Linked DNA regions of Arabidopsis thaliana. The protein of the gene in region 4 interacts with the protein of the main gene of each other region in a pairwise test. Each region holds a gene or a part of one and is shown on either strand. Other genes may lie near its edges.

Region 1 (6,393 bases), on a different chromosome or scaffold from region 4:
TATCCAATTGGATTTGAGGAAATAGTAGGATTCTTAATTATTTTTTTAATAAACAAATATAATGGAGATAATACTTTATTCAGGATAATGAGATTATTGGTCAAATATAAAATTTGCTGTTTTGAACAAAAGCAATAATAAGTTATCTTGCTCGAATCAAGGAACACAAGCTAGGACAAGAAGCTCTAACTTTTCTTTGTAAAATTGTTAAACATAACGGCATTAGTTGTAAGAACGCTAATTTTTTTTTTTTTTTTAATTTATATATATATATATATTTTTAATAAATTATAGATAAGCAATCTATAATTTATATTATATTCAAAAACTAAAATAATAAGTTATCGTTTTGTTGTATTGTTTCTTGTTGTTATGGAAAGTGGCATTCGTAGATATCTTATGTTAATCGTTGTTTTAAGAAAAATATAGATTGTTTATCTAAATTGTATTTGGGTGTAGTCTATACCGTGTATAACACACTATTTTTTTTTTTCGTTAAAACTCAATTTACCTGAATTTTTTTTTTTTTTTAATTAAGATGAAATTTTGTATATCGATAACTTATATGATCATTTCTTATTTAATTTTCATTTTTGCCAATATGGAAAATGAATTGTACGGTTTTCATTCTTAGATTATAATATTTGTTATCTTTTCTATATATGAATGTACGATTTTTTATATGCGAATGTATTTTAACTTATCATTGACCAAAAGTCTATTATAGAAAAATAAAACATAGATATTGTGTCTTTTAATATATCTAAATAAAGAGAAAGTCATTTATACATGTATAGTTACTTATTTCTCCTAACCCATAATTTTTCTTTTGGACAAACTCCTAACCGATAGTTTATACACGTTTTGGTAGGAACTATAAATAGGTCGAGTCGTCGAGAGGTTAGCCATCTTTCAGATACTAATCTTTGGATTTCCTCTTTATTCTATATCAGTTTGGGGAATGGAAACTTGTTGGGGAAAGCCTGACATTAGATAGAGGCGGTAGTCTCATTGCTAAAAACATAACGTCTGATTATCGGCTGCAATCCTATATGGATACTGGCCATTTCTTATGGTTAAATGTTATGTTCTGCAATGAGAGAGTTTTGTCCTCTATGTGAGTATCAATTTTTTTGGCTTGAGAGATTCATAGGGAGCCTTATTTTTTGTACTGGCCAGAGAAAGCTTGTATGGTCGATTTGTATGGGTGAAGTTAAGAGTAGTGTAGCATCTAACTGTCTTTTGTATAAGTCGGATCAATAATGGCAAAATGTTAGATGAATACAGTAGTCCATGAGTATAGGTTTGCTCGATATATATCTCATTTCCATATACATACTTTACCTACAATATCTGTATCAACGTTAACAAAACTGAACTTGGACCTCGATTGCTAAACAGCCCATCAATTCTTTTGGCCCAAATATTAATGTTTATTGCTCCCCCCCCAAAAAAAAAGATTACTGTCAATTGTCAACAATGTCCATTGCCTTTCAATTATCTTATATAATATAACTAGATTTCAATTAGCTTATATAATTTTTTTGACAGAAATAATCTTGATTTTCTTAGCCTATCAGTTCTATATCAAATCTCAGAAATCCTTCATTTTGAATTTGTTGATTCTCGGAGATGAAGAAATCAAATGGGATACATAAAACTAACGATTAGTTCCTCTTGAATTTTTTTGAGCTAAAGGAATAATTTTTGAAGAGATTAGCCTTATTACCTAAATTCATGGGTTAAATAGGCACACAATATACTCACATAGAGCAAAAAGTTAAAAACTCAGAAATTGTAAACCAGAAACCAATAATTTCCAAAACCGCGGATAGTTTGTTGGGACTTATTTTGGACACATATCTTCGAACCATTTCATACACACAAAAGGCATTATTGATTATAAACCTCAAAAATTGATGGTCGGCCACTGCCGCCACACTTTCAAGAAAAATAGCACTAAATTGTTATAAGACTTTTTTGTTTGTTTTGTCAAATAATTATATAAACCTTAGGTATAAGGTTTATGAAAACGACAAGAGACACGCAAGGAAGGACTAAAATAAACAGTTAAGCCCATATAAAAAAAAAGTAATGTAGCAACCCAAAGTTTTGAATTGATTTTTCACTAACACAAGCGATATCATGCGGCGGCGCGTGGGGTCTCTTTGGCCAATTTGGTAAATTCAGTTGCACCGCAGAAACACATGCAGAGGTTCGTCGTCATAGCGAACATATGTTTAAATTCAGATTATACAACTGGTTTATTAGGCCTAAAACATAAATTTTTTGTTAGGTTCTAAATATTTCTTAAATTATAAAATTTGTCGCTAAACTCTTTTTGTCTTTCTCTTGCTAAAAGCTACATGAGGTCGATTACAAATCGCTTATGAAATACGATAAAAAGAAGTTGCAACGAAACTGTTAGAATTTGATCTTTTATGAAAGCAATATGCATAATGCATGATCTTTGTTTAGTCAATACATATGTCTAAGTGTCTAACACATGTAACAGTTCTATGACTGTTTTATAGTCTCATAAAACTACACGATTCCGGTTCTACATATAAAACATAAACATAAAATCTTCACAATCTGCATGAAAGTTTTGATTTCGCTACGTGAGATCTCCTTTAGTTAATTAATTTGACTTCTTATGATATTTGATTATATCAAACATGTTTGTTTCATTTACTACTGAAATTTGCGTTATTTTAAGACTTCTGTAGATAAATTTGTTATGTGAATTTGATATTTATCTATATAGGACCGTCAAAAATTTTATTTATTTTATATTTTTAGATGCTTCTATATATATATGTATACACGCATAACATATATAAGATTGGTAAACATGAGCAGAAAAATTATAGGACAATTAAACTTCCTCTAATTTTATCAGAAAACTTTTGTTCGAATTCATATGAAAATTTTCAAAATAAATAAAAAAATACAATTTATTTACAAACTCAAGACTCATAATACACATATCTTGTCCGTAAGTGAATAAGCCAGTCCAAACTCACACGCTTGCTCAGCATTTACGTCTCTCATTAGTCTCTATCTCTTTTGTTTGTTTCCTTCTTTTCTCAGTCCGTCTTTTGTCGTGATTTAAGAGAGAGGCGCGTGAGTCAAACAGGACACTAGCAAAGCAAACAGCTGCACAAGTCAGTCCGTACTTCACGACACGCCATAGAATACGATAAGATTTTTAAAACCCCCTCGAAACCGACATAAGCGACGGTCGTAACACGATCCACAAACATAATTAGATCCACGTTCAGACGTTGTTAAGTTTTTGTGTTGCTAATTAAGAAGTTTCTTGTTTTTTCCGCAACATATGGATCTCACAACAACAATCGATCTCCGACTCTTACATAACGAACAAAAGAAGGATTAAATTATAAAAACAAGTCTACTAACTCTAACAAAAAGATACTATTTGCTAAAAAAAGAAACTAAAGTAGTTCCACCGAAAGTGGTCTCAAACGGCGCCGTATAGAAAAGTAGGCAAAACGGCGCCGCTATATCCATCTTTATCGTTTGTTTTCAAAGCCAAAGCGGCGGAGGCTCGTTGAGGTCAATGGCTAAGCCACGTCTCACCGTAACAGGGGAAGGAGAAGAATTCATCATCGGAAACCCAACCACTTGATAACCAGGCGATGACGTGGCTGTGTTAGGCGAGGAGGTGAAGTAAAGCGGCGCTTCTGTAGAAGAGTAATCTGAAGTTTTGTCGTTTAGCACACCGGTTCGGAGAAAAATGCGGTGGTGTTGGTGATGATGGTCGGAGCTTGGAGGAACAGGAGGAGGCGCAGCGAACCAGAGCTGTTGGTGTTGGTGGGGTTGGTTATTTGCGGCGGCGGTTGCGGCTGAGGGAGCGGAAGGGAGGTGGTTGAGGTCGAGAGAGAGAGGAGAAGGGAAGTTAGTTTTGGCTTTGATACCACGGAGGAAACGAGCAGCGCCGTCGTAAGCAAGAGCAGCTTCTTCGGGAGTGTCGAAAGTGCCTAACCAAACCCTAGTTTTCTTCCAAGGATCTCGTATCTCAGCAGCGTAGCGACCCCAAGGTCTCTTTCTGACTCCTCTGTAATGCACCTCTCTTGCACACGTCGTTGACGCCATTGTTAGACTCTCAAGAGGGGAAATATGAGAGAATCTAGAGAGAAAGTGGAGAAGAGAAGAAAGAGGTTTTGCTTTGTTGGCTCGTTTGACCCAAATGAGAGAGAGAGTGAGTGAGTTTAAAGAGCAAGAGGTGTGTTTGTAGGGCCGCTTGAGAACACCCGTAATCCTCGGCTTCTTTTGACGATTATCTATCTTTATTTGTTGCCTATACGTAATATATATGGCAAGTTAATAGTAAAAACAAAACTGAATAGTGTTTGATTTCTAGGATCGAGGTTTTCTCTGGGGTTTGCAAGAATCAAGCACCGTTCGATCTTTTGCTGTTGGGTGATGTGACGGTGGTATGCTGAGAGATTGTTACACGTGGGTGTTCTACACCAAAATAATGTTGTTTTAATAAGTTGATGTATTTGAAAAAATACAATAGGATTTCTCATAAAGTGAATACTTCTAGTGGTGAGTGGACTTATTCTAGGACATGAAAGAAAACAATGCTAATCATTCCTTTGAGTGCTAATACTGTTTTCTTATCTACCATTTACAACTTCTGTTATATAAAAAAGATTTGTTAGGTAATGGTTAGAAATAAAATATTTTAGTTCTACTCTCCAAACAACCTCATTACCGTTGTAACTTATGGTAAATTAACTCATTACTTGCTAGTGACGATAATGCCATACTATGAAATTTATGCTATTATAAAAAGAAGATAGAAAGATCATTTTTGCATAGGCTCTCCAAACATTTTTTCATAATTCAAGTACTTTGTTTTCGATCGTAACAATCTCGATGCTTTTTCTCACAGCAACCATTGATACAAAATGATCAAAGAAAAAAGAACTAAAAATAAATAATCTTGTACATTTACGAAGAGGAAAGAAAAATGGGCCGCCTCTTTGACTGAACCTGTGGCATAGGGATGCTGACGTAATCCCTAGTACTGATAATAGCCATCTCTCTCTATCTTTTGTATCTTTCACTCTATTATTTGACAAGTATTTAAATGCTCTCTTTTGGGGTTTTATTGGCACCCATATATATTTATGATGCACGAGGACAAGGCTACAAGGAGATCATTAAATAAAGTTACTTGACACAACTACTCTATCTTTAGCTCTGACTGATTTTGTTTTTCTTTTTGTCCAAAATTCATTAGCCCATCTTATGCAAACTTACTATACTCTCTAGTCTATACTAATAGAGTAGATTACATAGGCTCTTTCTTTTCCCTCTAAAAAGTGACGTAGTTTAAGTCTTTATATTGTGTAAAATATATAGTAATCATAGGAGTCAAAAATTTATAGCAATTGAAGTGGCTTATAATTTTCAGTAATAGACAATGAATTAAAACAAATTAGTTAGAGGTTTTTTGTTTTTGTTTTATCAACTGAAGTTTTATTAGATTAATTTGTCTTTTAACTTCTCTATTTCTTGACATTTTGTAAGATGTTTTTGTTTGGTTTTAGGGTTATTTAAAAATAAATAAAAAAATCTGTGTTTCCTTTCACGTGACAAGGCTTAGGGTCTGTCGTTTTGATTGAACAAATGCATTGGTCCATATCTAACAAAATTTATACACGTGCGAACTCTGATGTCTGACTTCTCTCTCTCTGACATATCTAATTATTTAAATTAACCCTACCTATAAGCACAGTAAAAAAAAGAGAGATACCCCAAAGCTATATAAGCTACTACAGTACTAATAATCATTTTCAAGAAATATTTTGGAGAAAAATGTGAATGTGGCTTTCGTGTTCACGTGAGCCTGTGATACATAAGAGCTTTATGACGTGTCTTTGTAGTAGCAGCTAGGACAAAAGGAGCATCGTCATCAAGTGGTACTGACTGGCTGCCTCCTACAAAAACAGAACACAACTCAACACTCACACGAAATCATGACTTTGATGTCTCTCTGCTTACGTGTCTTCTTCTCATTCCATGAACCCCCTCCTCCTCTCTCCCCACACCTGATCTGACTGCACTTTCGCGCCTCTTTTTTGACTATTTTGTTGCTTTCTTATCTTTCTTTTTTTCCAGGAATTACTTACAGGTAGTAACTTTTACGTTTTACCATCAGCTAGCTCTTTTTACTAGTCAGTGTGATTCACAATTTCGATTAGAGGTAAAAAATAATACTGGAAAATTTTAGTTTAATGCTCTTGTAGCTGTGGAGGTTTATTTTTAGTTGACAATAAATCACAAAATTTGTCCAACTGGATTCTAATCTTCGAGGCTCATATCTATCAAAAAACAAAAATGAACTTTAAGAGATTT
Region 2 (7,287 bases), on a different chromosome or scaffold from region 4:
AATAATCACCGGCTATGACCGGTTTACATGCTTTCTTTATCTGTTACCGTTCTACAGTTTTTAAAAACCTTCGTTAAGCTCTTTCATACTCTGTTCCATCTCTCTCTCTCTTTCTCACTGATCTCATTTCATTCCTTATCTTTCCAATTTTACCCTCACGTTACCTTCGAATTCTCCATCTCCTACCATTCAAAGCTTCTCTCAGATGTCTATAGTCTCTAAGCTTCGTTCTCCGGTTAAACCAATAGATGAGTCACGAGCTATCCTCTGTTCGACCGGGAACAGATTTAAGGTTACGAAAACAGAAATGACGAAGAAGCCACAACTGAATCCACGAGTGACGAAATCTCCGGCGACGAAGAAGCCCGATTCCAATTTCTCAGTTTCGACTGATGATTCCTCTTCTTCTTCTTCATCCTCGGAACGTTCGTCAGTGAACACGACAAACTCTGGGAAAGTAACCACTCCGTCGAAACGGAACGGAGTTGAGAAGCTCAATAATGTCGTTGCCTCCGTCGCCGTCGTTGAAGACATTAGTCCTAAAATTCCGGGACCGGTCAAGAGATGCCACTGGATCACACCTAATTCAGGTCTCTTTGTCTGACACCTTTTTTTTTCCCTCTTTGCCTCATTTAACTTTAATTTAAATTCACATTTTTTCTCTCATTTATTTAGAGAAAATTCTGTTTTTTACCTCTGAATTTCGTGAATAACGAGGAAGTATATAATCCATCTGTTACTTTTTGTTTGATCTTTTAGAAAATACACAAATATTAAGAAAACATAATAAATGTTGCATTTAAATGTATTATTTTTTGTGATTTACAATTTTCAATAACTTTAAACCAATGATATTCACTAATTTGTGTTGAAGTTTACAATTTATCAATTATAACTAATAACTATTGTATTGAAAATCTAAAAAATTAATCTTTTTGAAACAATTTTTTTTTCTAAACAATCAAACAAAAAGGAACGAGGGAGTATATTTTTAAAGAATAAAACAAAATATTAGTTTTTAGGTTTTATTGTTAGGAATAAAATGTTTTACACTATGTAGAGACTTGTTGTCCTTGTCACAACATTTAATGAATCTGCAAAGAATTAAAAGATACTTACCAAATTTCTTCGTTTTTGGCCCCAATAAAATATCTCAATCGACTTTATAAATTGATGCCATGTGAATGGCTTTTTATGGTTTTCGAAATGTAATTTTGTTTTGATAATACGTTAAAGTTAATAAAGGTTACAATCAGTTTTCATAGATGTCAACAACACATTAATTGCACCTAGCAAAAACTAGGTATTGTAGTTGATAAATAAGGACAAAAAAAAATGTAGAAGATGATTGATGACATTGGATATGTAAGTTTTTCAGTTAATAATAATAATGGTGATTGATCAAACAGACCCGATCTATGTTTTGTTCCACGACGAGGAATGGGGTGTTCCAGTTCGTGATGACAAGAAACTCTTCGAGCTACTTGTCTTCTCACAAGCTTTGGCTGAGTTTAGCTGGCCTTCAATCCTACGCAGAAGAGACGACTTTAGGTAAACTTAGGACGGTGAATTTGCTATTTTGTGTTTTGGTTTGGTGTGATATCAGAAGTTTTGGTTTCTTTTTTGTAGGAAGCTCTTTGAAGAGTTTGATCCTTCAGCTATAGCACAATTCACAGAGAAGAGGTTGATGTCTCTTAGAGTTAATGGGTGTCTAATTCTATCCGAACAGAAACTGCGAGCAATTGTAGAGAACGCGAAATCTGTTCTCAAGGTAGGCACTGTGTGTTTTGCTATGAAATTGTAGATACTATGTGTTTACTGAAATAGCTTTGGTTGTAATCTGAAAACAGGTCAAGCAGGAATTTGGATCGTTCAGTAATTATTGTTGGAGATTTGTGAACCACAAGCCATTAAGAAATGGCTATCGATATGGTCGTCAAGTACCGGTTAAGTCCCCAAAGGCAGAGTACATTAGCAAAGATATGATGCAGAGAGGGTTTCGCTGCGTTGGTCCTACTGTTATGTATTCCTTCTTGCAGGCCTCTGGCATTGTTAATGATCATCTCACAGCTTGTTTCAGATACCAAGAATGTAATGTTGAGACTGAGAGAGAAACAAAAAGCCATGAGACTGAAACCAAACTGGATCTGCATTCTCCATTACTTGTTTGATCAGAAACAGGGATTGGACTATTAAGAAGATGAGTGACCAGTGTTTGTATTCGTTATGGAATGTACCATTTGTAGCTAGCTGTGTTCATTGATTATGCTACTATCCTAGCTAGCTTTGTCTAACTAGATATTTGATGATGTGTTAGTGTTTGACCAAAAGATTGATTGCAGGGAAATAAAGAATTTAACATTTTGTAAAAGCAAATGTTTTTGCAAATTTTGGATCTTGATGCTAAGAGACAGAATCGGCTCAAGAAATGATATATGACTAAGCAATTTGACAAGACACAAGACAGTTTCAAGCCACTAATTAATGTAACATATGTAAGGAAACAGAATCATACATCTTAAGATTTTTTTATCTACAAATAATGCTTTTGAAACCAAATTCATGAATTGAATAACCACTCTAACACTCCAATGCTTCCATGGAGAAGGCTTTGGGCAGCATATTTGGATAATAAGTGAAGAACATATGAGATTCCATAAAGATCCAAATACCTGGACGAAGAAGAAAATACTCAAGAGGATTAGTTTCTCATATTCCAATGACATGCCATTTGGGTTTGCCTAGTTGTTTATGTCAACCACGAGCCTTCCCATTTCCAAGTGTAAGCTCAAGATCCTCCATACCCACATCATGTATCCTCTCTCCTTCCCAGGGTTTAACTTGGCTATTCTCAAATTTAAACTCAGAGCTTTGACCAATCTCTTGGAAGGCAGCAGTATTTGGAGACATCTGCTGAGGCGCAGGTTTCACAAGATTGAAGGTAGGAGAGGTTGGCACCATAGAGGCAGAGAATGGCTGTTGTTGTGCAAACTTCTGAAAGCTTATCCAATGACCAGAATCAACAGTGGAAGAGTCAGACTCATCACATTCAGGTATAGTAGCCGGGGTATGAAACTGGTGGCGATGTGTCGGACTAGCAGGTGCAGAAACCGCATAGAAAGGATAATTAAAAGACGCCATTGATTGTTTAGCAATGGCCATGGATTGCTTAGCGATAGATTCCCAGTTAGGCAACGGTTTCGGGTTCTTAGAAGTCGGCGATGAGACCGGTGGGGTAACTGGACAACTGTTTGAGATTCTGAGGGAAGGAAGAGAAGAAGGAATGCCACCATTTCTGAGGAAAGGGAAGAATGTAGAGGACATGTTGTTATTTGGTTCACCGCGAGAAGGACTCGGGAATGATGAAGAAGACGGGCTAACTTGGTAAGATGGGATGGGACTTTGAAAGGCTGATGAAAGAGGGCTCTGGTTCTGTGATGAATATGGAGTTACTCGAGATGAAGTCCCAGCTATCTCACCAGGTAAAGGCTTGCATCCCTGATACTCCAACAAAAGCAAAACAATAACCAATCAAACATCAATCAATCACAGGTAAGCAAAAGAAACACAATGCAATGACTTTGGACCAAGTATCATACATAAAAGATTAAGACTTTAGCATACCAATAATAACTCTAAAATTAGAAAGAAAACCCATAAATTCACTTTGAGAAATCAGATCCATCCATAGTTTCTGATGATTCAAATTCACTTTGAGAAAACCCTCAAATTCTCAGATTCAAACCCATTTAACCACAATTGAAATCAACGAATTCAGATTCAAACATCAAAAACATCAATAAAACAAGCTCAGATCTGGAAAAAATGGAGAAAGTCTTCACCTTGCGATAAGTAGTACCATCTTCTTCAACAACCCAACCAGCTTCAACACAAAGAGCTTTAAGGACTTCATTATTATCACAATGTTTAGGCAAATTATAATCACCTTGAGCTCTAAGCCCAGTGTATATCTTCGCAGCTACAGCTCTTCTCCGTCTTTCTCTCCTCCGATTATTCTCCCTTTCTCTCCACGACGGCTTCCTCCTCGCCGCTGCTGCCGCCGCCGCAGCTGCAGCTGCTGATGTCGACGTAGCTCCATCCGAAGTCATCGGGAAAACCAACAACCAACCCCTCGAAACTTCCGGAGAGAGCTTTGAATAGGTGGGTGAAAGATTGTGTGAACGTAGACTGATGAAGAAGAAGAAGAGAGGAGTGAGAAGTTAGTGCTCACGAGGAATACGCTTTTCCTTCGCTGGAATCGAAGAAGAAGAATCTCTCTTTCTTCTCCAACAAATAATAATATTTTTTTCATCTAATGTAAAAATTGGGTCGTGTGTGTGTTCAAGTACATTGAGTTCATATTAAGAATCATTGTTCTTGTGTATCGATCGTCCACGTGTAAATACATGGTTTTGGAAGGGTGAGATTACGTGAGGTGAATATAAGAGGTGTATGTTAAGGTGCAGAGGATAACTACGCTTAGTAACGTGTGTTTATGTTCTAATCTTTTTTTTTTTCTGTGAGTATGTAAAATGAGTAATGACCAAATAATACAGAGAAAAGAAAGGAGGAGACACAGTGGGACCGTTTCTTCAGTGTGGGTCCCTTACTTGTGTGACCGAAAAACACACCATTTGATTGGTTTTTAAAATTTTATTTTATACAGTGAAGCCGTGTGATTAACATCATAATGATATATTCAATTAAAAATTATCACTTTTTTCTTGCATACAAATCTCACTTTAGAAACAATTTTGACTACTTTTGTCCTGATTAGTTGTATGTACACTGGCTCTCTCTTTTTTTTACCTTCTTCGTACCTTACAAATGATATAAAGATTGGTGAATACCATTTACTATGTTCTATAAAGTATTTAGTTTGGTTACATGTTGATTTTAAGCTTTAGTATCTAATATCCAAATTTTGGATTAATTGCTGGGTCCATCATTATTTATGTATTCATAACCAAAACTTGTATAGTTCATTGAACATAAAAGGAAAAAGGGGTTTACGAGTTTGTCCCATAACAAGGTTCGGCGGCATATATGATGTATGATCATGTAATATTTTTGGATTATGACGTTTATTTTGTAGAAAGTGCAGGAGCATGTAACTAATGTCTTAAAAGCAGAGGAACCCGAACCATCAACGCGAGTTGGGAAACATTTGGAATGAATCAGAGGGTTCGATGAATTAGGCAAAACTAAAGTAATCGCCGTTGCCGGGGATCGAACCCGGGTCACCCGCGTGACAGGCGGGAATACTTACCACTATACTACAACGACTTTGTTGCTAATCGAGCGATTATGTGTTAATTATTGGTGATACGTTTTAAATCATCAGTTAAATCTTAATACCAGCTTTCGTTTCTAGCATTAAAAGGAATTTAGGGGTTTTCTTCTTTGGTTTGGCACTAGTAACCTACTTGTGATAATAAGTAGATTATGTGTTAAGTATGTTTTTTTTGGAAATATGTTCTGTTTTTCCGATTAACTCCATGTTACCTAGCTAACTCGTTTTGGACAATAAGTACATTACTTTAAACCATCAAACTTACAAAATGCTATGTCTTGAACAAGAAAAAATGTTGGCTTAAGAATCACTCCATGAACATTGTTTTAGTTTAGTTAAATGTTCAATATGGACATTATACGATGACATATTTAATAGAGGCGTGATTTCAAATTCAAATTACATTGGAGAGGAACGAAAACAAATAAACAATAGGGGTATAATCGTAACTTACGCATGCATGGGCCCCATAACTCCTGACTTTTTTTTTATTTTGAAAAAACCCAGTCAACCATTCATATTCACGTCGATCGCGTGTAGACATTACACAAAATTTACGAAGTGTGGCCCTCGTTTTCCTTTTTTGATCATTTTAAAACCCTCTAAAAGCATCAATCTCAGATTCCAATACAAATTAGTACCCAAAATGTTTCATACAAATTAACCAAACGTATCCACTCCTTTCTTTTTTGTTTCAATTTCGTTTTTACAAAATCTAAATCTTCACAACCAAGACAAGACAAGTAATACAGTGAATAAAGAGTAAAAAGTAATACAAGTTTTCCAACAAATGAATTCATCTTTATTAGAGAGTAAAAAGTAAAAAAGCTCTCGGTAAAAAACAAAAAAAGGTTTTGGTACCCATCCATGAAAAAACCGCTCAATTTCCACAGTGCAAATGATACAAGTACAAAACACACGTGTTGATACCTTATTGGTCACGATAGGAAGGCGGTCGCTATCGCCTATCGTCCCTTCCCTTCCCTCCTCTGTATCTCTATCTTTCTCTCTCTTACTCATCATAATACACTCTGCTTTTTCCTCTTTCTTCTCTCACTCTTACTCTGTCTTTCTTCATCAGACCAAAAACAAACCCTAATTTCTCAGCTCGATTTCTCTCTTACTCCATTTCTCAATCCTTCACAAAATGCACCAACTTCCATTTCCGAGATCGTAAAAAAGCTTGTGGTACTTTCTGATAATAGAGAGGGAAAAAACGAGAGAGAGAGAAAACACAAAATGCTGGAAGCTCCGGTGAACAAGTCAAGCATCCTCAATGGAGGAGGAGGAGGATTCTCTCAGCTACAGAGTTGCTTCGGCGATTGCAGTAGCGAAGAAGAATTGTCAGTGTTGCCACGTCATACCAAAGTTGTCGTTACTGGAAACAACCGTACCAAATCTGTTCTCGTCGGTCTTCAAGGCGTCGTTAAGAAAGCCGTCGGACTCGGTGGTTGGCATTGGCTGGTGAGCAAAGATCAACTTCGCTTTCTTCTTTACCTCGTTTTGTCTTTTTTGCATCTTTGTGTCTGTCTGTGTTTTTATTCCCCCAGTAGAGTAGATTTTTAAAAACTGATTAACAAAAGATCCAGAATCATTAGCTCAATAATGCAATAAAATCAATGGTTGTTCTATGTTACCGATTAGATTGATTGTTCTTAAAATATCATAACTTTATTTTGTTAAATTGCATCATAACGATCTGCACTTTTTATATTTATTTTTAACTTTTGTGTTACTTTTTCTCAATCAATTCCTTGAGAATCCTTATCTTTGTGGGTTCAAGCTGGCTTTTAGATTTGTTTTACTTGTAGTCACTAATTTTGATATACTTTAATTAATAATATTTAGGGTTTTTGTTCTTTCTTTTTCAGATTGGTCATTTTCATCCACTGAAAAATGTTAAACTTTTTATAGATGTTCTCCGTTTCATTAGGCTTCCTAGTTTTTATATTATCAATTTTACTTTCTTTGATCCTTTTTTGATCATTTCTCTA
Region 3 (5,759 bases), on a different chromosome or scaffold from region 4:
GGGTTCCACCAAGAAAAAGCGGCCGCCGCAGCTAATCTTGTTTCACACGTGTCTCTCAGTATTTTATTTTTGGTTAAGATTTAAAATGAATTATTATTCCCACTCGAATATTATAATGCTAATATATTTTTAATTAAGATGTGATCCTGATATCCATATCTGCAACTAACCTGTATTTTATTAATTCTACACATGACCCATCATCCATGTGTATAATTAGTATGCCTATTTCTCTGCATATTCTTCTTCTTTTTATTTTTTTTAATGTAAAAATTAATCTTATTGTCTAAAGTTTCTGGTATTGAAAAATTGTGGGAGGTGGGGTTTCTTTGGGACAAGATGATGAGATGAGGGGCCAAAATGAAATTACCTCAATTTACGGAGTCCTTCACGTAAACAAATAAGGCTAGTAAATATATAATAAATCAATGAAATGAAAAGAAAGACAGTGAGAATCAAACTTTATCGGACGGTGGAGATGCACGTGAAGACAACCCAATATCCCGACATAAACCTCGTCAACACGGAATTTACATCCCATGCCACTTTCACACGCGCCATATGCTCAACCACACACATCTTCTGTAAAAATTCCGGTTTTCACTTAAGAAATATGTTAACAGAGTCAATCGAACCGGATTTTTAAGGCATATTAGGTCAATTATAATTGGTGGACTTCTACTTGGATAACTACCAATAGGAAAAGTAAATATTAATTTTTTTATTTTAAGTGATTTTATCTTCATGAACTGTTACGGGCATACAATGTTTTCCTCTGCAAAATTGTCTCTCTTTTAAAAACAGGAGTTTAACTTATCAAATTAACTTCTAAAATATACCTCAACTATTCTGTCTGAGTGAAATTATTTGAATACGATAAAAGATGCGTAAAAACATTCTTTATTTCTAGATATATATATATATTTGTAAACATAATTTACTCGCTATAAATACTCTCTTTGAGAGGACAAAGACTTTGAAATAATACTACTAAAAAGTCTTATTCTCATAAATATATTATTAAAAAAAATGGGAATGTGGGCGCCACCGTCTCTGATTCGGTCTCTTCTGAAAAGGATGATGATGACTCGCGCTGCTTGGCCGTCGGTGCCGCTTCACTCTTTTTTTTTTTTTGCGTAGTTAATAAACATGAAAGTGTATGATCCAGACACGTGGATAAGAATAGAATCTAGCCGTTGGATCTACACGAGAATCACGAAAGGATAGTTATTGACTCTTTCTGATTGCGGAGTTGGAGACAAGAATCCAATCAAAAACCTCTCTTCTCTGCCTCTCATTATGAAGCCGCTTTCTATTTCACACCCTCTTATACGTCGTCGTTTTCTTTCAAACTTTTAACATCATTGTTTTGTACCTATATTTACATTTTCAACACATCACGCCATCATTCAATAAAAAATTTCGCAAGTTAAATTTACTTTCCGCACAAATTTAAAACAACGAAATAAAATTCAAAAAGACCAGCCATCTAGAAATAATTGGCCAAAAGAATATCTATAAATAACACTATTGTTAGCTTAACGGGTCAAATGATGTTGGTTTAGTCCAATTCAACTCCGAATCAATTCAATGTCATAGTTTAAAGAAAATTAATTTTGCACTATAAGCTATATATTCTAAAAGCTTTCAGATAAAAAAAACCAATATCTAGACTAGTCATAGTTGTTTCTTTAGAGACTTTGTGTACTCTTTTTCCATTTTTTGCCGACAAAAATTTGTTTACGAAACTAGAGATCTTTCTTAAAAAAAATTGAACAAAATCTTATCTTTGTTTTGTGGCAGTTTCTTTTCCAAATTTAAGAATCTATCAAATTAAAAATCTAGGTTCTCTCTGTCAGACCTAAAGAGTGTTAACTCTCAGCTTCAAGACTCTTCCAAGTTAGCTAGAAAGAAAAGAAATGAGTATGTCCGTACTCTGTGAGTGGACCCTACTACTAAGTGACGTAAGCGCAAAGAATTTTCTAACTTACGCCGCAGAGAGCAAAACGAGGGCCCACACACGCCGGCTGCGTGTCTGCTGGAAACTTGGACCATTGTTAAAAGCCGACGATACTCAACTACCATTTTATTAATCTCACTTTGAATTTTAGTTTTTCTTATACTTCAACTTACAATTATTTTGTTTTGTCAAATAAGTAATTTTAGTCCCTTCAATTTTTTTAATTTGGTGGTAACGATAGAAAAGGAAAGCCAATAGAAGGAGCCGCCACAACCCACAAGTAGTAATAATCAAAATTTCGGAAATTGGATTGGACAAGATAATTCTGAAGATTACCAAATTATTGATTGAAAATTTGGAAGAACAAAAAAAAAAAAAGTAGTAAAAAAAATAGAGAAACAACATGGGGTGAAACCAAGTCGCAAAAAATTAAAAGCACACAACAAAAGTTCAGATCTCCGGTTATGTAATAATATGTACATAACGATCCATGTCAGCTAAAATTATATTTTTCTCTCTCAGATTTAATCTGTTTTTTCTTTCTAAAAACTGGTAATAAATTTAGACTGAGAGAGAGAGAGAGGAAAAACTATGAGAAAACGAATTTTCACAGCTCAAAAAGAAGAAGAAACGCATGCGCTTCGAATTGAAACGACACCGTTAAAAGCTCAGGCCTGTTCCGATGGAGGAGGCAAATTAAGATCTAGATCTAACAGCTGAGATCTCTTCTCCATCCCACCTTCGAAATCAACGACCGATGACGAATCAGAGTCGCTTTGGGCACCACAAGCCATCTTCGTCGCAACATGCACCACCGGCGATCTAAACGCCGATGTCACAGGAGGAGGCTGACCACGACCTACGTTACCGATCCCCATCAGGTCCAAAAAGTAGACAGGACGCGACATCGGGATCTGATAACACGAGCCGCCGCCTCCTCCGCCGAGACTAAGCTCGAGCTGCGGGGGAACATTCCCAGCCGTCGCTGAAGGCACAACTAACGTCGGAGGAGAAGCACAGTCGAGCGTGCTGCTCTGGCTAGGGCTACGCGCGAAACCGGTAGGGACCTTCTGGTCACTCAGCTCGAGAAAAGTTGGGAAATTGGTCTTAGCCTTAGCACCACGAAAATCACGCGCCGCCGTATCGTAAGCACGCGCCGCCTCTTCAGCCGTATCGAAAGTGCCAAGCCAGACGCGGGTTTTCTTGCCCGGATCTCGGATCTCGGCGGCATAACGGCCCCAAGGACGCTTCCTAACGCCTCTGTAACGAATCTCCTTGGCATTATTGTGGGTCTGGTTAGTAGTAGCCGGGTCGGGTTTCAAGCCCATCTTGGCCATTCTCGGATAGATAGATTAGAGAGAGAGTGGTGGTGTGATAGATAATTGAAGGGAGAAGAGGAAAGGAGAGAGTTGTTTATATATAGGATGGGAGAGAGAGTAAAAGCGACGCTCCTTTTGGGGCGCTTTGTTGTGAACAGTCAAAGCCTGAAATGGTTTTAGCGGCTTCTCTTACAAAACACCAGCGGTTTTCATGGTTTTCTTTTTTACCTCCACTTATCTTTTGCCACGTGTTTTTCTTTCCTCTTTCAAAGAATTTTGTTTTTCTTATCAACCCTTCATTTCTTTTTTAACCTCACCAAGCGTTTTCAATTTTTGTTGATCATCTTATTAATGAATTTATTGATGTATTTAAAAAGTTGAATACATTGTCAAAAATATAGATACAAATTAAATACATTAATTTGATTGACTTTAATTTTAAAATAAAACTTTTTATCACTGGATCTTTAATTTAATTATTAATATTTGGCAATGAGAAAATTAATTGGACTATGTAATCTTTGCATTAAAGTTCTTAATGAAATAAGGATAAATTTTGAAATATAGATCTTACTATGATACATATTTAATCAATCCGTATTTTGAATGATTTATTTTGTGGTGGAAAATATTGGATGCAAAGTCTTTTTTTTTTTTTTTTGTGTAAACTATTTTATCTAAAAAGTGAAATTCATTTGTTATCTGTATGTACAATGTACTAACAAACTTTTGATACAATTTGTAACAAAAAAACTAAAGAAATCCGTACAGTATTTGACGCATTTAATGGAGATGCATGTTGTTTGCTGTTTTGTCTACACAGCGTATTCCCTTGAATGCTGGTGATAAGATTTTGATTTTCATAACCGAGGGAATTAAGAATGTAATCCCACATCTTAATTTAATATATATAGTTAATCTAACTACGAATTGTCATGTGCCATTTACCCTCATGATTTAGGATATAACTACACAAGCTTGCTCTAGTGAGTACACTTGTAATGAACTCAGTTTGTTTTCTCATAACCTGTTGGATCAACCTTAATGCTTGCATAATTGAGAAAAAAACTTGAACAAATATGTGAGTAACTAATTTTTCAGATCATATCAATTTTGTTTTCGTATCTCAAAACTTTTGGTTTAAAAAATACCCAATTTTTTGTAAGACCAATAAACAACTAAAGATACTGTTATGTGTGTAAAAATTTGAAAATACAGGTAAATAAAGTCATACTATATGGCAGTGTGAGTTAAAGACAAGAGTAACTTCAAAAACTAGGAAATAAGTTAAGCAGCGGCGCCTGAAAAGAAGAGAGAAGAAGAAACCAAAGAACAGTATTGGATGACGCAAAAATGTAAAATACGTGGCAACACCTTGAGGACGCGCGGCTTGGGAACCGCGTTTCCATGTACGAGCGTGAATCTCACCGCCAAACACGTGCCGACGGCGATCGCGTGAAAGAAAGAGCGTTATGCGTGACTTCGTAGACTCAGCTCCAAATTCAACTTGGAGTTTGACTGCTTTTTCTTTCGCGGAATAAAACTAAAATAAAAACAAAAGGCTATTTAGCCGCCCCTCCGCCAAAGAAAAACAAAGATGGCCCACAACGCACTCGCTATTTAAATAAAATAGAAAGAGTTTTAAAGATGTATAGTGCCACGTGGTCAACGCGACGCGTGGAGAATGGATGAAGAGAGAGAGAGAATGGTGGCCGCGTCGGCTAACCGAGAGAGATTCTAACGGCGGTGGGCCCGCCGTTTGTTTTGTTCTTTGTTTCCTAAAAGACGGACGGTAATTACATTCTGACGGCAGAACAAGACGTGTGATTAATAGATTAGTTTTAATAAATTTTATGTAATTTGGTTGTTAATTGGCTCTTTTTTAATTGGTCTTTGTTTATTCTTTTACGACAGCTACATATGTCTTCACGCCATGGATAATGGATTGGGTTTCTTGGGCCACAGAATCAGCTGGATATCAGAAAATAAAAAGATTCATTTATTTAAATATATTATCTTTACGTTTCATTAAGAAGATACTACTGTTTAATTTTCTTAAACATGATTATAGACTTAAGCTAGCTTCACTTTTATGCTGTCTCTATATTCAAAACCTCTGTTTGTTTGTAAGCAAAACTTTCGGTACCAAACAATATCACTTCAATCGAAATAAATTCTTTATTCAATAAAAATTATTTTTTTTGTCCGAAACGAATGAAATTTCATATACTAAAATTTGTTATCATTCGTATTTTAATAGCAATCACTAACAAATAATGCTGTTCTTAAACAAATAATGATCATTCAACCTTACTAAAAAAATCCGGTTTAATTCATTTTTGGTAAAAAGATATGTATTTTTCATTGCAATTTTTGTTGTTGTATATGTAACGTTTTGCTTCGGAAGATCTTTAGAGAGTTTAGTGAAGATGGGAGGGAAAAACAAAATTGAAATCTTGTTTCAGCTACAAAGTGCTCTA
Region 4 (6,171 bases):
AACTCATGTAAATTCGACTTCCAATCTTGAGTAACCCTATCGAATAATCAAACAGTCAAAAAGTAACATAAACATCAAAATTCTCCAAGAAATCAACAAATCTTAATGTCTGATTCAAAATGAGAAGTTTCTCCAAAAGATTGTTCCAAAAGTTAAAAGCTTTACGGTGATTTTTCACTAACGTTGATTCACACATAACACCATTCTTAGTAACCTAAAGCCCATCAGGAAAAGACATAATCTTTGAGCAACCCAAATCAAAGGAACAAATTTTCAGCAAAATTTGGGGCAATGGAAGAAGCTAAAATGCTTACTTGACAGAAGAAACGGGTGGGTGTGAAACGACGTCGCCTTGAGAAATTTTGGAACAGACTGAAGAAAGAAGTTGTCGTCGACCAACAAATTCATTCTCATTAGGTTTCGAACAGAAAGATGCTATTACCTGCATCTTTCCAAAAAAAATCGAGAAAACTCTGAGACCAGTCGATTTGGCAAAAACCTGGATAAAATTAAGAATCTTAGATAATTTTTTGTGTAGCTTAGGAAGAAGAAGATACTTGAAATACCGAAATGCCCTCTCTAGTAATTTAGAAAATAAATGATTTATTTATTTTATATGTGTTATTTTGTTGTGAAAAAACCCAAAAAAGCAGATATTTATTTTTTTATTAAGAAATATTGCATTTTATACGCGAAATTTTAAAAAGTAATTATTTTAAATATGTGAACTTCGTATATGGCCATTTAATATATAAAAATACGTTGATCGGGCACCATTTCATACAAAATTATTTGTTGATCATGCCAAAATACACACGACGTTATCTACCGCTAACAGATCCGATAACATCCGTTAACTAGTCTCTTTTAGTTTCCAATACAACGTCGTTTCACCATAATCGAAATGAGAAAAATGTCATTTAATACTCCAACTTTCAAATTGTGACAGTTTTATACATCAACTTCACATGTGATTATTTTATACATAAATTAAACATTGACCAGCAGTTTGAAATATGAAAATGCGTTGAGCAGACCAGAAAAACATATCGCTATCTAGGCCTAGATATTCGGATTTTAGTTTGGATTCATAGGGAACAGCACTTCTATCGGGAAATGGGTGTCACGCCGCGATCCAAAAGTGTTAATCGAGAAGAACAGCAAATATGCATTGGGCTAAAGACGTCATTCAGTTTAGGTCCTAAGAGTGAATCAAACGATGTGAGGCCTGAGTGGAAGATGAAGGAATTATGCTTTTAAAAGTTTGAAACAAAAAGAAAACTGTAGGTTTGCTTCTTGATTTTCCAAATTCCTCTTCATTGTTGGACTCTTGTCTTACCATGTATACTTTGTTTTTTTGTTTAGGTGGACCACAATGTGATTGTCTTGTGCAAGGTCTCTTTCAAAAGTGTTATCAAGGTTTATGAAACATCTCCACTTCTTTATTTCAGGTTCACAATTTACTTTTTTTATCTCACTAAATTAAAATGTCTCCTTCAATTCTCTTTTCTAGGTTGAGCAGACCACTTTGGAGGAGCTATTAATCGAACCTTGCGAGCGAGTGTTGTACCAGCCGAGAGGCAAGTGTACCTCCATCATCCTCTTCCTTTGAGGACGACGAGCATGTCCGATACATGCTCCCTAGGGTTTAGTCTCGGAGATAGATGGTTTGATGTATCGGTTTTAAAGCACAAACCGTTCAAAGCATTAAAGCAAAAACTTGGATTTTCACAGCATTAATAGATATTCCAAGAGGATGGTTGTTGACAACTTTAATGTTTTACATATAAAGAGAAATAGAAAGCTTAGGTTAAAGGCTATTGACCAAACTTCCCAACTTGTGTTGCGTGGGTTAAAAAACCTAGGCCATTTTTTGGACTTCTCTCATCTTGAATTGTTTTTTGGTTCATCTTGTTTTTTTTTTTTTTTTTTACCACGAGATCTTCATTTCTATTCTACGTATACATTATGTTTTTACATGTCTCAAACTTGGAGACATATATAGCAACCTTAAGCAATGCCTTCGATTTTACCAATGCCTATATTGACTTACCATGGATTTTACTTTTCTTATATGTTACAATAATATATATAAAAGTATGAAACTATAAATAAATGTGGAAGAAGGAAGGAATAAATTAATTTTAGGGAATCGCGAATTTGAGATTTCATAATTTACGTAAAAGAACATTACTTTATTTACGGCTATAACTAAAACTACAACGACCCTTTGCTTAAGCACCACAACTTTCAAATATCAATCTTAATTTATAAGACTTTTACTTATAGACTTATAGATATAGAGATTGGATCCCATATAGATTCTACTCTAGAAAAACGTTTGACATTAGTCGGTCAAAGTCGTATCATCATTAAGTCATTAACCATATAGTTAGATTTTTTTTGGTAGAATGCATCTATAAGATATCGAAACAAAGGAAGAAAAACGTTTCCATATCATATTTTCCTAAAGATAAACCACATACGTAATGTAAGTATAACTTTTCCTATATTGTTCGACTCGTCCGTAGCCTCGATTTCACGAAGTACGCAATAACCTTGAAGTTTGAATCTTCTCATAAGAAAAATAATAATTTTAACGGCAAAATTCAAGATTCATAATATCTTTCTTGTATAAATCTCCTCTTATTCAAGAGACATTGGTCTTATACCTACGCATCACTTTCTGGTCCAATTATCGTTTCCCTATGAACCCATTTCTTCTTCTCTAAGAAACTTCTTCCTTCTTCCCCAAACTTACTCTCTCTATCTCTATAAATCTCTCTGTTTCTCTTCATCAAATTTTGGTATCCCAAAAGTACTAATTCTGTGTGTGTTAATGGTTCTAGTTATGGATGATGAAGAGAGTAACAACGTTGAAAGATATGACGACGTCGTATTGCCAGGGTTTAGGTTCCATCCCACTGATGAAGAACTCGTAAGTTTCTACTTGAAACGGAAGGTTTTACACAAATCTCTTCCCTTTGATCTCATCAAGAAAGTCGACATTTACAAATACGATCCATGGGACCTCCCAAGTAAGCCACAAAACTCTAACTTTTAATTCTCCAAATATATGGAAACAAAATATTTGATTATGCATTTTCTTAAATCAATGTTTAAAAAGAGCTTGCAGCGATGGGGGAAAAAGAGTGGTACTTTTATTGTCCTAGAGACAGGAAATACCGCAACAGCACAAGACCTAACCGAGTAACTGGAGGTGGCTTCTGGAAAGCAACCGGAACAGACCGGCCTATATACTCATTGGACTCCACTCGATGCATCGGTTTGAAGAAATCACTTGTGTTCTACCGTGGTCGAGCTGCTAAAGGAGTCAAAACCGATTGGATGATGCATGAATTTCGTCTCCCTTCTCTCTCTGACTCTCATCACTCATCATATCCCAATTACAATAACAAGAAGCAACACCTTAACAATAACAACAACAGCAAGGAGCTTCCTTCAAACGTAAGTTATCGGATTTGCCCTAACTTGCTTTACCCGCAACAAAGGTTAGGTTACCAAACAAATTAGAATCGATCTTTTTCATTTTGTAGGATGCTTGGGCGATATGTAGAATATTTAAGAAGACAAATGCAGTATCCTCACAAAGATCAATCCCACAATCTTGGGTTTATCCAACGATTCCTGACAACAATCAACAGTCACACAACAACACCGCAACTCTCTTAGCTTCATCAGACGTTCTCAGCCACATATCAACAAGACAAAACTTTATTCCTTCTCCAGTCAACGAACCCGCAAGCTTCACAGAATCAGCTGCTTCTTACTTCGCGTCTCAGATGCTCGGAGTCACGTACAATACAGCCAGAAACAACGGAACAGGGGATGCTCTGTTTCTGAGAAACAATGGAACAGGGGATGCTCTGGTTCTGAGCAACAATGAGAATAACTACTTCAACAACTTGACTGGAGGGTTGACTCATGAGGTTCCGAATGTAAGATCAATGGTGATGGAGGAGACTACGGGGAGTGAGATGTCGGCGACGTCGTATTCCACTAACAATTAAGATCATAGTACTATTAACACTTGAATTAGTGTAGACGTTGATCATCGCTAATATGTATTAATTTTTCTTGTCTTACTATAAACGTTGCTTCTCTTTTGGTTTCTTGAAGGCCGAAAAGAAAAAGAAAAAAACAAAGACTTGCTTCGAACATGCAACTTCTCCTTAATTTGGTATAGATAATTGTAATGGCTTTTTATATTAATCATTAAGTCTCATTCTTGAATGACACTAGTTTTTTTGGATTTTTCAGAGCCATATTTCATATTCTTTATGAAGAGGATACAATGCTTTCTTTTTTTTTTTTGAAAATAAGTAAAGAAAATATGAATTTGCAAAATCTTTTATTTATGTCAATAATGGCAAAGTAATGGATTAAAAAGGTACACGGAGTTATAAATTATATTTCTCATTTTTTAATGGAGGGTTCTAAATTTTATTTAAAATGGATGTATTTTGGTCGATTTTTGTTAGATTGTATTGTCACAAATTTTTAGCAAATCCAATAATTATATTATTAATTAAGAGCTATTTACATAATGATACAAAGGGTATCTGAAATATATATGGACAAGCAAATCTTTCTTTTTTATAGATCTTATTAATTAAAAGAGAGTGAGAGTAGAAAAAAAAAACTATTTCCTTTTTATCAGTCCTTAACGGCTAAATTACACAAATCTATGCAAAAGATATGGAAATCAAATCTTCACAAGCTTTGTTTTACCGATTAGAAGAGTGAAAAAAAAATAAAAAATCTAACTTTAAGGACCAAATTTTCTATAAGTATATCGCTATTTCACAAAGTTGTCTCTGACTTTCATATTCTTCATCATCTTCTTAGGGTTTCCTAAACCTAATTCGTAGTTTCACTCTCTCAATTTCATTCGTCTTCGTGCTTTCTCTTCACTTTGAACGTGAAACAAAAAATAGAGAGATTGTCTTCGAAATCAACAAGAAGATGGCCATTCGATCTTTACCTTCTTCCTCAGGCTGTTCCAATTCCTCTTCGTCTTCTTCTTATTCACTCGCTTCAACAAGTTTGAGCAATAGACTTGAGACCATCTTCAGGAAAGCTTCAGAGCTTTGCACTCTCTGTGATATCGAAGCATGCGTCATCTATTACGGACCAGACGGAGAACTCAAGACATGGCCTCCGGAGCGAGAGAAAGTGGAAGACATTGCTCTCAGGTATAGTCAACTAAACGAAGCCTTGAGACGCAAGAAGAGCGTTACTCTTTATGACTTCCTGAACAAGAAGAAGAACAAGACGAACTTGGAGAAGAAAGCAAAGATAAAGGACAACGACTTGAAAAGACTTGTCTGAAGAACGTGAATGTTTTAAAGTATCCAATTGCTGATCATTACTCTCCTGACCAAATTTCTCAACTGATTCAGTCCTTAGAACCTCATGTCTCTAAAGTCCGAGAAAGGATTCGTTTTGTTGAGTCGCAGAAACATAAGGAGACAAAACCGGATCATCAGAGTTTAGCATCATCCTCTCTGAATAATCAGACCCAATCTTTGAACCCTAGCCAGTTTTCGCTGTTTATGTATAACCATGGAGATAATATTCTGTCTCAGATCCCAGTCTCTGCATCAAATTTCAATCAGGATTATTTCTCAGCGTTACTTGAACAATCTGAGTTGAAGAGTCAGATAATGAAGCAGGAGGTTTGTGGTTATGAGCAGAACATGTGCATGAGTAACAATGGAGATGCTACGCTCTCTCAAATCCCACTCTCTGCATCAAATTTCAATCAAGAGTTCTCAGCCTTACTACAAGAAGAATCTGGCTTGATGCAACAGGAGCTTTGTAATTATGATCAGAACATGTTTATGAACAACAACAACTTCCAACATTCTTTTGTCTCAAACACACAAGATCACTCTGCTCCTGCGGTACAAGAATCTGTGAACAACAACTATGGGTTGATGCCGCATGTTCCTTGTGGTTATGATCAGAACCTGTTTACGAGTGATATTACCAACAACAACCTTCTTATCGACAACTCGATGTTTCTCTGATAACAAAGCTCATTCAAGAGAGTGTGAGACTGTTTTTTCATCTTCTCGTAAGAATTTTAATATGTTGTTGATGTTTATTTTGCTAAGTATTGCATAACGCATAATGTTTTCTTGTATC

What was found.
Region 1: the proteins of NAC094 (region 4) and ERF12 interact in binary tests that used the Arabidopsis thaliana proteins (3 or more experiments, as listed by UniProt).
Region 2: the proteins of NAC094 (region 4) and BZR1 interact in binary tests that used the Arabidopsis thaliana proteins (3 or more experiments, as listed by UniProt).
Region 3: the proteins of NAC094 (region 4) and ERF4 interact in binary tests that used the Arabidopsis thaliana proteins (3 or more experiments, as listed by UniProt).

The regions. Positions count from the first base shown.
Region 1 is NC_003070.9:9,949,660-9,956,052, reverse strand, and holds ERF12 (ERF domain protein 12), read right to left. Parts: upstream 4,292-6,393; 5' UTR 4,120-4,291; coding exon 3,550-4,119; 3' UTR 2,948-3,549; downstream 1-2,947.
Region 2 is NC_003070.9:28,182,531-28,189,817, reverse strand, and holds BZR1 (Brassinosteroid signaling positive regulator (BZR1) family protein), read right to left. Parts: upstream 4,315-7,287; 5' UTR 4,110-4,314; coding exon 3,843-4,109; intron 3,499-3,842; coding exon 2,755-3,498; 3' UTR 2,673-2,754; exon of another isoform or gene 2,408-2,672; intron 2,372-2,407; exon of another isoform or gene 2,172-2,371; coding exon of another isoform or gene 1,851-2,171; 3' UTR 1,772-1,850; downstream 1-1,771. Other genes in the region: AT1G75090 (DNA glycosylase superfamily protein), read left to right, coding at 206-590, 1,410-1,551, 1,630-1,771, 1,851-2,171; AT1G75060 (histone deacetylase complex subunit), read left to right, coding at 6,533-6,757.
Region 3 is NC_003074.8:5,119,010-5,124,768, reverse strand, and holds ERF4 (ethylene responsive element binding factor 4), read right to left. Parts: upstream 3,348-5,759; 5' UTR 3,298-3,347; coding exon 2,629-3,297; 3' UTR 2,207-2,628; downstream 1-2,206. Other genes in the region: AT3G15200 (Tetratricopeptide repeat (TPR)-like superfamily protein), read left to right, coding at 5,709-5,759.
Region 4 is NC_003076.8:15,937,160-15,943,330, reverse strand, and holds NAC094 (NAC domain containing protein 94), read left to right. Parts: upstream 1-2,740; 5' UTR 2,741-2,839; coding exon 2,840-3,038; intron 3,039-3,127; coding exon 3,128-3,468; intron 3,469-3,557; coding exon 3,558-4,031; 3' UTR 4,032-4,221; downstream 4,222-6,171. Other genes in the region: DEG8 (Trypsin family protein with PDZ domain-containing protein), read right to left, coding at 1-36, 315-448; AGL98 (AGAMOUS-like 98), read left to right, coding at 4,987-5,346, 5,424-6,053.